Linked DNA regions of Rattus norvegicus. The main gene of each other region encodes a partner of the protein of the gene in region 2 in a complex. Links are inferred from orthologs where the notes say so. Each region holds a gene or a part of one and is shown on either strand. Other genes may lie near its edges.

Region 1 (4,117 bases), on a different chromosome or scaffold from region 2:
TACCACGTATCTGTCTACTTTAAAGGTGGGTACCATCATACCAGGCTTGTTTTCTTTCACTCTACCTCTTATATGATGTGATTCTTTGCTGTTTTGTTTTGTTCAAACAGGATTTCTCCCTGTAGCCTTGGCTGTTCTGGAACTCACAATGGAGATCAGGCTGACCTTAAGACACCTACCTAATTTTACAATTCTTTTGTGCCAATTACACCTTCTAAAACCTGAGTAGCTGGGACTGTAGGTGTAGACAGTCAGCAAAATGTTTCCTTAGCAGAAAAAAGTTATAGCTTAGTTTTAGGGGATCAGAAGTGCAAGGCTTTTCTCGGCTTGAGTGAGCTTGAGGTCAGTGTGTGATGCCAGGAACCCTGTCTCAATCACTCAATCCATTAATCAAATCTAATGTCATACCTGTTGATAGGAGGCCATAACAGGATTCAATTAAAACACTGTTTACAAATGGCAAGAATAAAAATTCTGGCTAGCCTAACACACTAATGATGTGTTTCCAAACAGGAATTCTGTCTTTAGCTGGGTAATATCCAGCAGTAATTCCAATAAAAGTCCATTTTGATTAAAAACAAAGTCAAACATCTAAAAAATGTGGGAGATGCCTCTGGGATAGGGCACTTCCTTCAAAGCCTGACAACAGGAGTTCCATCCTTGGGACCCACATGACAAGAGGAGAAGCTGCCCTTTAACTTCCATGCTGTGGCACAGGCACATCTACATGAAATGTAAAAATAATTAATTAAAAGTATTAAAGAATATTTAAACAGCTGAAGTGAAGAAATAAAAAAACCCTCACCCAGCACCGCAAAGCCTTGAGCCTTGGCTGATTCCTGGCTTCCAAGAAGTGAAAATTAAAGCACATCCCACCAAGACCTGGGGCAGAAAATCAAGTCATAGTTTCCTATGTTCGTAATCCTGAGTTCATTTACATTTGCCTGATTGCCATATGCAAACATCTGTGCAGAGAGTAAACACACTTTCTGTTGATCTGCTTGCGTTTTTTTGTTTGTTTGTTTTCTTTTTTTTTTTGTCCTTAACTCATGGAATCAATGAGCTGTCATATAAGGAAGGAATTATGTCATAATCACTGAAATTTTGTCATTGTTCTCTATGTACTTAATAATTCCCATTACTTTAGCCTAAAATGTTGCACTTCTGAATTTTTAAGTGGATCTGACAGCGGCCTGGTTTAATCTTCTGTGCCACACTGGCACTGCTTAGAAGCAAGCTAAGGGAGAACAGGAATGCGTTATCCACGCCTACTGCTCTGTTTGCAGGAGCACAGAGAGCATCAGCTGTGGCAGGTAGTCCAGAGGTAGAGGAAGCACTCCTTAACACCCTCAGGGAGCTGAGTTCAATCTCCAGCACCAGAAAACAAGTGAGATTAGCAAATGGTTAGCTGTGGTTCCCTTTCTTCTAGCTGGGTGGCAGCTCCATTGAATTTCAAACTGTGAAGGCAGCTAGCTTCAGTTGTTCCTATCTAGATCACGCCAACATCCCTGATAATGAAGCATGTTAACTCATAAAGAGTAACTGCTTTGTTGTTATCCCAGTTTAACTTTACAAAATGCTAGGTAAAGCACTTCTTTGCTTGAGACTAAAGTGATTAATAAAGAATTTAAAAATTAAAAATAGGGCTGGAGAAATGGTTAAGAGCACTGACTGTTCTTCCAGAGGTCCTGAGTTCAACTCCTTGCAACCACATGGTGGCTCATTTGTAATGGGATCTGATGCCCTCTTCTGGACACACCAGAACAGTGACAGTGTACACATATACATAAAATAAAAAGGTTTTAAGATTAAAAATAAAATGTTTTAATGACTAGTTCAAAAAAATATAGCCAATTCAAACAAACCCTCACACTAATTAGCAGAATAAATATTACCTATCTGTTCTGGATTACTACATTGCCATCTGAACTAGTTTTGAAATTCACACCTTCAAGAAGAAAGAGCCTCAAGGAAGGAGGCCTCCCTGTCTCCACTCAAGAAAAAAACTTGACAAAACCTAACAGTGGCAAGTGTCCTGTCAATCATCATCAATGCCAAAGGAGGAAAATGAAAAAACACACCAAGCCAATATGCATAGGAAATCTGCACCATGGCTTTCAAAGTTCTTAACAGTCTATTCTAAGCCCTTCTACTACAACAATATTTAAAAGAACAATCATCTGCTTTCATAGAATAAATGTCATTCTCAGTGAGCAACATATTACATTAATTATCATAGAAATAAAACTGTTGAATGAATCAGTTTGTTTTAATTATTTCAGTTTGCTGGTGCCACTTATCATAAAAAACGTGGCCATCAGAAACTTCACATGTGTCAAGCCTGTACAGAAGAAAATCTTTCTACAGGCACTTATCCGCAACCTACAAAGCCTAGCAGCTCTGAATCAGGACTGGGTCCACTTAAAATGCAATCACAGTTATGGATCCTTGTGAGAAAGCATCTTAACTCCATCTACTCCAAAAGCAGGAGAAATCTGCATTCTTTTTCAGTCTGAAGCAGTACTCTCTAAGAGGAAATACAAGTGAACTCATCCTCATTTATTACCATCAGAAGATGCATACGACTCCTTACCTTTTCTGTGCCTCTTTTCTTTTCCCGAGGTTGATTAAGTTTGGCTTGTCTATCTACCAAAATCTTCTGCCAGTACCTCTGCTCATGATCACCTTAAAAAGAAGCAAAAGCTCTGACCACCAGCTCGAGTGTTTGGGGGAAGAGGTTCATTAGCCCAGTGCAGAACAAGTAAAAGAATCCCCTACAATAATAAGTGTTCACCAGAAACACAATTGGGTTTTACCAGAAAGGATCTCGAGGTTCCAACTGTGCTTCTTTTTAATTTCAGTCTGTGCATTCATTACTGCCTGAGCATCCTCTGGGGTTTTGAATCGGGCATGGCATTCAGTATCTCCTTCTAGCAAATCAATGTAAACAACTTCTGAGATTGTGGCCAAAATATCCTATACAGGAAAGAAACATGAAAACTTAAAAATCACCTTAACAATGTCTGACAATAAACGAATGTAACCAGAGGTTACAAAATGCATTCTATCAAGCTACTCTCTAGTTGATGGGTAAATATATAAAATATTTCTAAAATATACAGAACTACTCTTCAAATACATTTACACATAAATGAGAAGCAATTTAACAACGTATGGCAAATTACTGTAGCTCATCCTCTTGAATGTGACTTTAAAATATGAACTGACAAGGGGATCAGCTGAGGGAACTCTTGTACAGTTGAACAGAAATGGCCCATCGCTCAGCAAGCTGGAAGGAGGTTAGTACGAAGAAGAGGAAAATACAAGGAGGAGAGGCTTGGAGAAGCTGAGTCGCACTCACCTACACAACACCACGTGTGAATGAACACAGAGAACCAGCTCTCAACATTGTACAATAACGGACAGAAACTGAAGGCTCTTGGGGAGGTTTACTGGAACACAGCCCAACAGCTCTCAGTTTTAGATAAAATACCTTAGTAACCTTTTCTAAGCAAGCTGAGGTCACCCAGCAAGGAAGAGTTTTACCTATAACACCTGCTGTGAGCTCTAATTAAGGAGATTCCTGCATTCTTAATCAAGTTTTTTTCCTCACACCAGGTTCTCCACAGAACACACTGCATTTATGCAGGAATGTTACAGTAATCTTATTGTTAAATGTCACTCATTAAAACTAAAGAAATAAAGAAACTGTTTAGTATAGAATAGAATTTTCTAGGCACAATAACTCAAATTCTTTTAAAATGTTTTAGAAAAAAAATTGAGACTTTAGCTATTGTAGGATAAAAGAGTGTATCCTTTAACTGTGACGGACAAGAGAACTGCAGGCCTAGAAGACAGAAGCTCACCCTTAACACATGCTCTGTAAGACAGGAACTTCCATACTGAAAAATGTTTCCTTCATCAATCAAGGAAAAAAAAAAAGAGAGAGAGAGAGAGAGAGAATGAGACCTGAGAGCCTTCCAATGTTGTTACCCAGTTAATCATTACTACGTAAGACACAGCAAGAGACCAGTCTGCACTGAGTTGATGAAACTGTAATGGGTTTCCTATTCGTGGTGAGAGTTTTATAATCAGTTTTTCAGATAGTTTAGAGTAC
Region 2 (5,517 bases):
GTCCTCCGTAAAAATAAAAAGGTGATTATTCCCTCTCTCCACAGAAACCCAACTCACTGTGAGAGACTTTCTCCTGCAGTAGGACGACCACGGTTGGGGCTCCAGGACCAGAATGCCCCCAGGTCGCAGATGCCGGTAGATCCGGCGGAACATTCTCTTCAGCCCCTCATCACCCCAGTTCAGGTGCACCCACTTGGTGAGGCTGAAGCAGAGCACCACATCATACTCAGGTCTTTGGGCATCCACCAGCTCATCTCTGTCCAGGACATAGTTACCCTGTGGGCCAGAAGAGGGGAAGATGTCAAAAAGAGGGATGAGAAGCACTGCTGGCCCCACAACCACCTGAGGACTGAGAACCTCACTTCAGCCCTGTGGCTTCCTGAGGCTCTTCCCAACAGCACCCTCTTTTAGCCCCATGTTCTCTTCTCCCTTTTAAGCTCCTGGTGCTAAACCAAACAAACTTAAAGGGGAGCCTGGTTAGGTTTAAATTGAGCTAATTTATCTAATGGTTAACTGGAGAAATTACAGTGTTCCCAAAACCCTTACCCAGGAGACCTCACATACAAAGGCCATGCACTGTTTTAAAGACAGAGACTCTTAAGCTGTGTTTCAGGTCTGTTCTTTCTCTAAGGAAATAACCTTAAGAAATCTCTTTTTAAAGAAGGTAAACTCATCACCATTCCTGGGGAGACATTTCCCAGGCCAAGCCACTGGCAAAAGTTCCCCTGGATGGCCTAACAACTGTGTAATGGAGGGAACTAGCATGATGTCAGGCTGGGCACTCGCTCCATGTAGAGCCCTGCCTTCACTGCCCCTTCTCATTGTTCAGTCAGCATGGGAAGACAAGCCCATGAGTTCCTGACCAGTAATTTCAGCAGTCTGTGCTGCATCTGGGGAAAAAAGGCAAATAAAGTCCCTATCAAAGTCCCAAACTACACATATTGGAGTGTTTCCCCTCCCCCAGACACCCAACTTCAGGCTCCCTCAGGAGATTTGAGGACAAGGTTCCATCTGGACTCAACAGGAGAGGTTACCCTCAAGGGAAGCGGATTGTTTGGATTTTAGTCCCAGTTGGAAGCAGAACAAGTCAGCCCCCTATGTTAGGGATGAGATCCTTGTTTGTAGTCATGAGAAAAGACCAGATGTTAGAGCCTGAAGGTAGAGATCCCACTTTCCACGTTATAGGAGCAGAGATAACACACCCAGCAGAGATTCTCTGGCCAATCCAGACTGTTCTCTCCGGGAGATGGTTCTTGTATGAAGGAACAGATGCATGGATATGGCCATCCCCCCCAACACATCCCTACTTAATCTCATCTTCACATTGGGACCCTATTCCAAGAGCCTCTGGACTCTTACCGTGACGAAGACGACATTGTTGGGGAAGACAGATGTGTCCGCTCCATCCAAGGGCAAATGGGGTGCAGCGATGGGACCCCGGCTGGCTGTCAGTGAGGCTGGGAAGCAGCTCCTTTTTCGGACAGTGGTAGTCCCTTCCTCCCCCTCTGTCCCTGGGTCCCCCTCAGAAGTCTGAGCTTGGAGACGAAGCTCCTCGGACAGGTAGTGTCGGATATTTTGGCGGGCAGAGTGGATAAGTCGTGGATCAATGTCCAGCCCCACCATGCGGGCTGGGCCCCACTTGCAGGCAATACTTAGGGTCAGATGGCCAACGTTGCAGCCCAGATCTAGGACGTCCCGGCCTTGAAACCACTCAGGCTTCAATACCCTAAGGCGCATGTCCTCACAGGAAGGATTGCGATAGCCATAGTACTTGCAGTAATTCCCATACTGGAACTTGAGCTGTTGCTTTTTGAAGCCAGTTGCAGGTAGTGGGTGGTGGTGACGGCCTCCCCCACTCCCTCTGCCCTTTTCCTTGGAACCCTGGCTTCCACCCCTAGCCCCTGCCTCTGACTTGCTGGAAGTCCTGCGACGTTTGCGATGTCGGGAGGAGGAGGAAGAGGGTGCAGAGGTAACTGAGGCAGCTGGAGGGGCAGAAAGGGAGCCTGAGGAACCCTGCAGGGCAGACGGAAGGGGAGACACAACTTCATCCCTGCAGTTGATGGCTGTGTTGAGTTCATAGGGTTGAGGGTCATCTCGGTTCTGGCCTCTGTGCTGCTGCGTAGCACCCTCCCCATGGACTGAGGGTGTGAGAGGGTCAGTGGGCAGCACAGCTTGGCTATCATTCCCTCCAGATGCCTGCTGCTGCTGGTGGTGCGGTCCCCGGTGTCTATGGCGCTTGCGACCAATCTTGAGTGGTGAAGCAAGCACTACATGGGCTTCATCAGTGCACGTGTTGAGACTGAGTGGGTCAGTGATATCTTTTGGGATGAGGATCTCCACAGGGTCTCTCCCCTTGGCCGGAAGTGGGGATGACTTTGGGGTCTCCGCATTGAGTGCGCGACTCACTTCCTCATCCAGGAGGCTATTCAGGTTCAGTGGATCAAATATATTACCCCCCAGAAGGAAATTGGATGGTAACACGGAGTCGCAGTCCGAATTCACTCGCCGGCGCCTCTTGAAGGCCGGATGTTTGAAGCTTCCACCGCTCCCTCCCCCCACGTTACAGCTATTTCTTCTTTTGCCCCCACCACCCACTGGGGGTCGGTGGGGCTGGTAGCCATTGCGAGGTCGAGGAGGGGCTGGGGGACCCAGGTCCGTCCCGCCCCCTCCCCGGCGCTCCTCCCCCACGTCCGCAGGAGCGGCAGCTCGCCCGTGGGGCTCCCCATGCGTCTGTGCCTGGGGGCCGCCCCCTCCGCTGGCTGTGGCCCCGGCCGAGTGCGCGCGTGGGCCCGGCCCGCGTTCTGTCCCGTCGAGGAGCTCCCCGGAGGCAGCCTCTTGGTGCGATCGCACCTCGGGGCCGCCCCCTCCACCCGACTCATCTTTGAGCGGCGGCGGTGGGGCTGGCACCAGAAAGGGCTCCTTCTCCGCCGCCATCTCGATCATCTCCTCTCCCTGTTTAATTTCCCCTTCCCAAGCGAGGGTACTGAGAAGAGATCAAGGGGAAGCCCCCCTGTAACCCTTCCTAAGACCACCTCACTCCCTCCTTCCCCGAGTGCGCGCGCAGCTCTGCCTCGCGCCCAAGCGCCTCCACCTCCCTCCCGCAACACACCAAGCGCGCTCCACTCGCCCGCGAGACCAAAACAAGATGCCCGCGAGACCCGGACAAGCCGAGGAACCAACTGCGCGTGCGCTGACACCCTTTTCTCCGCCGCCTCTACCACTCTGCCGCGAGCGCGCACGACGGGCGCGCGTTCCGCTCGCCCAGGACCCACGCATGCGCGCTCCGCCACCACCCAGGCTGCGCGCGCATCGGGAGTGCGAACCAACTTAACGGCTCTGAGAGTTTAAATACAGCCCCCCCTCCCTAATAGCCTCACCCTCCCCCAGCCCGAGACGCCCACCGCCCCACACGGACACCCGACTTCCCTTCGCTGCTAAGTCCAAGCCCTACTGATATCCTTTGTCTCTGCTGTGAGATCCCACCCACCGTAGGCGGGGAACGGGAGCTGGTGTGAAAAGGTCTCCTTGACACCCGACCCTTGTTCCTGAGGAATGAGGCTCCGCGGTCTCCGCCCGGCTCTAAACCCAACAACCTCCCTGCCCCGCCTCCTTCCTCCCCCATCCCCGCCCCTCCTAGAGAGCGCCTGCGCACCGTCCTTTTGGGCTTGCGCGGGTTGAAGGGGCAACACGTGCTGGAGATGATGCTCCGCCCCCTCCGTCCTAGGGGCGGGGAGTATGACGTCGTTTCCTTAGGTTAGATGCACGCAGCGTGCGTCAGCACGTTTCCAAGGGTTGTGCATTCCCAGGAAAGGGGCAAGCTCATGAATTATTCATGAGCAATCTAGTCCTTCCCCTCCTTCTTCCCGCCCATCTCATTAGAATTAGAAGGATTTAGGAGAACCTGAGGGGGGAATGATAAAGTAGGCGAAGGAGTCGAGCACACTGTCTCAAGAACTGTTGTCAATTAAATGCAATACATTGTTTAAAATATTCTTCGAATTGAAAACAAGCAAGCACTAAAACATCGAGGCTGTACAAATTCCTCTTCCCCTGAAACGGCCTGGTCGTTCAGGCGACCTCCCTTCCACCAGCGAGGAACATCTAGAGAACCACGCCTTCCTCTCCTCCCTTCACCTACGTCAGGCCTCGGACGCCTCCGCTACAGTGCGGCGCCTGCGCATCAGTCCCCAGCGCGAAGGGTGGCGTTGTTGTTATCGTCAATGCCACCTTTCGCGTTGTGGATTTTACAGCATTATCGCTGCAGCTTTGCTCCACTAGACACACAAGCGAATGTGGGCGGGAACGGGTATCGACCTGTTTTGGGCCTTCTGCTTCGGCCAATGGGAAGCACTGATTCCATGCCGAGTCCCTAGACTGATGGCTGGCGGAGTTTCCCTGTCAGCAGACTATCAGAAAAGAAGCAAGAGGGGGGCCCAAGATGGTCTCAAAATATAAGAGCGTGACGGAAACTAAAAGATAGGGGTCATAACATGGAAACAGGAAGGAGAAGGAGATTTTAGGCAGAGACAAGAACGAAGTGCCTCAGGTGCTCCGCTGCAGCTTATGGGGGGGGGGGGGAATAAAGGCGCCGGCGTGGATTATGGGACTTGTAGTTTCACTAGGCTTTCACTCGGAAGATGGCGAGCTACTCCAGCTGCTCAGACGCAAAAGCGGCTTCCCTCGGCGCATGCGCACTACGTCTGTGAGCGCACGCCGCTTGGGGGCGGGATTTGTCCGTGTCTTCGCGCCTTCTCCTGGTGGCGGGAAAAGTAGCTCGAGGTGGAAGGGATGTGCGGAATGGCTGCGATAGCGTTAGCTGCGCTTCATCTTTAGGTCCTCGTCTCCCCAGAAGGTAGTTGTCTTTTATGCGGCTGCAGAGGAAGGTGTTAGCTGTGGTGAATCTGGGTACCTGTTGGCTGAGGAGAAATTTTCTCTTCAGAGTCACAGCGAACCCTAGCCTCTTCTCTTCAGAATCGCTAATCTTCAAAACACTCGTAACAAAAAAATAACCCAGTATTGTGGCGGGAAATGGAGAGTTGAGGGACAGTAGACTGAGCGGGAGCGGAGGGGAGGCTTCCACGGCGGGATTCTTGGTCAGGTGAGAGAATAGCAAACCGCTACTTGACGCTTTGAGGGGAGGCGAGGGTTGTTTGCCTGGGTGAGATCTTTGGTGTTAATGGCCGTACCAGAGAGAATTGATAAAGAAAGAGGAAAACTAGAAGAGCACTCAAAGTCCCCCCCACGGGGGAGGGGGTTCGGTTTTCATGGCGCCGCACCGTGATGGCTGTAAGCAGAAGTCTGGGAACATCCCCAAGGGCCAGCCTGAGGTGCGGGACAAGGTTGTGGAGGGACATGAGTGGAAGCCATCCAGAGGCTGAGGTCAAAAATAGAAATGACAACTATTGGAAAGAAACTGTTTTGCTCACAAGTGACCACAGGTCTTTAGGGTTTCTTCCACTCCCCCACCCCTGCTCTGAGCCAATACAGGTTACCATGAATTTTATTTGTAACGTTCTG

Evidence for each region. Proteins that work in one complex are often made in the same cells at the same time.
Region 1: Mepce (region 2) and Larp7 share a complex: the UniProt entries of both Homo sapiens proteins name them as parts of the 7SK RNP complex. The link is inferred for Rattus norvegicus from reciprocal best matches to the Homo sapiens genes MEPCE and LARP7.

The regions. Positions count from the first base shown.
Region 1 is NC_086020.1:218,673,641-218,677,757, forward strand, and holds part of Larp7 (la-related protein 7), read right to left. Parts: intron 2,977-4,117; coding exon 2,817-2,976; intron 2,686-2,816; coding exon 2,594-2,685; intron 1-2,593. UniProt on the Homo sapiens protein: RNA-binding protein that specifically binds distinct small nuclear RNA (snRNAs) and regulates their processing and function.
Region 2 is NC_086030.1:24,546,613-24,552,129, reverse strand, and holds the start of Mepce (7SK snRNA methylphosphate capping enzyme), read right to left. Parts: upstream 3,535-5,517; 5' UTR 2,944-3,534; coding exon 1,360-2,943; intron 277-1,359; coding exon 58-276; intron 1-57. UniProt on the Homo sapiens protein: S-adenosyl-L-methionine-dependent methyltransferase that adds a methylphosphate cap at the 5'-end of 7SK snRNA (7SK RNA), leading to stabilize it.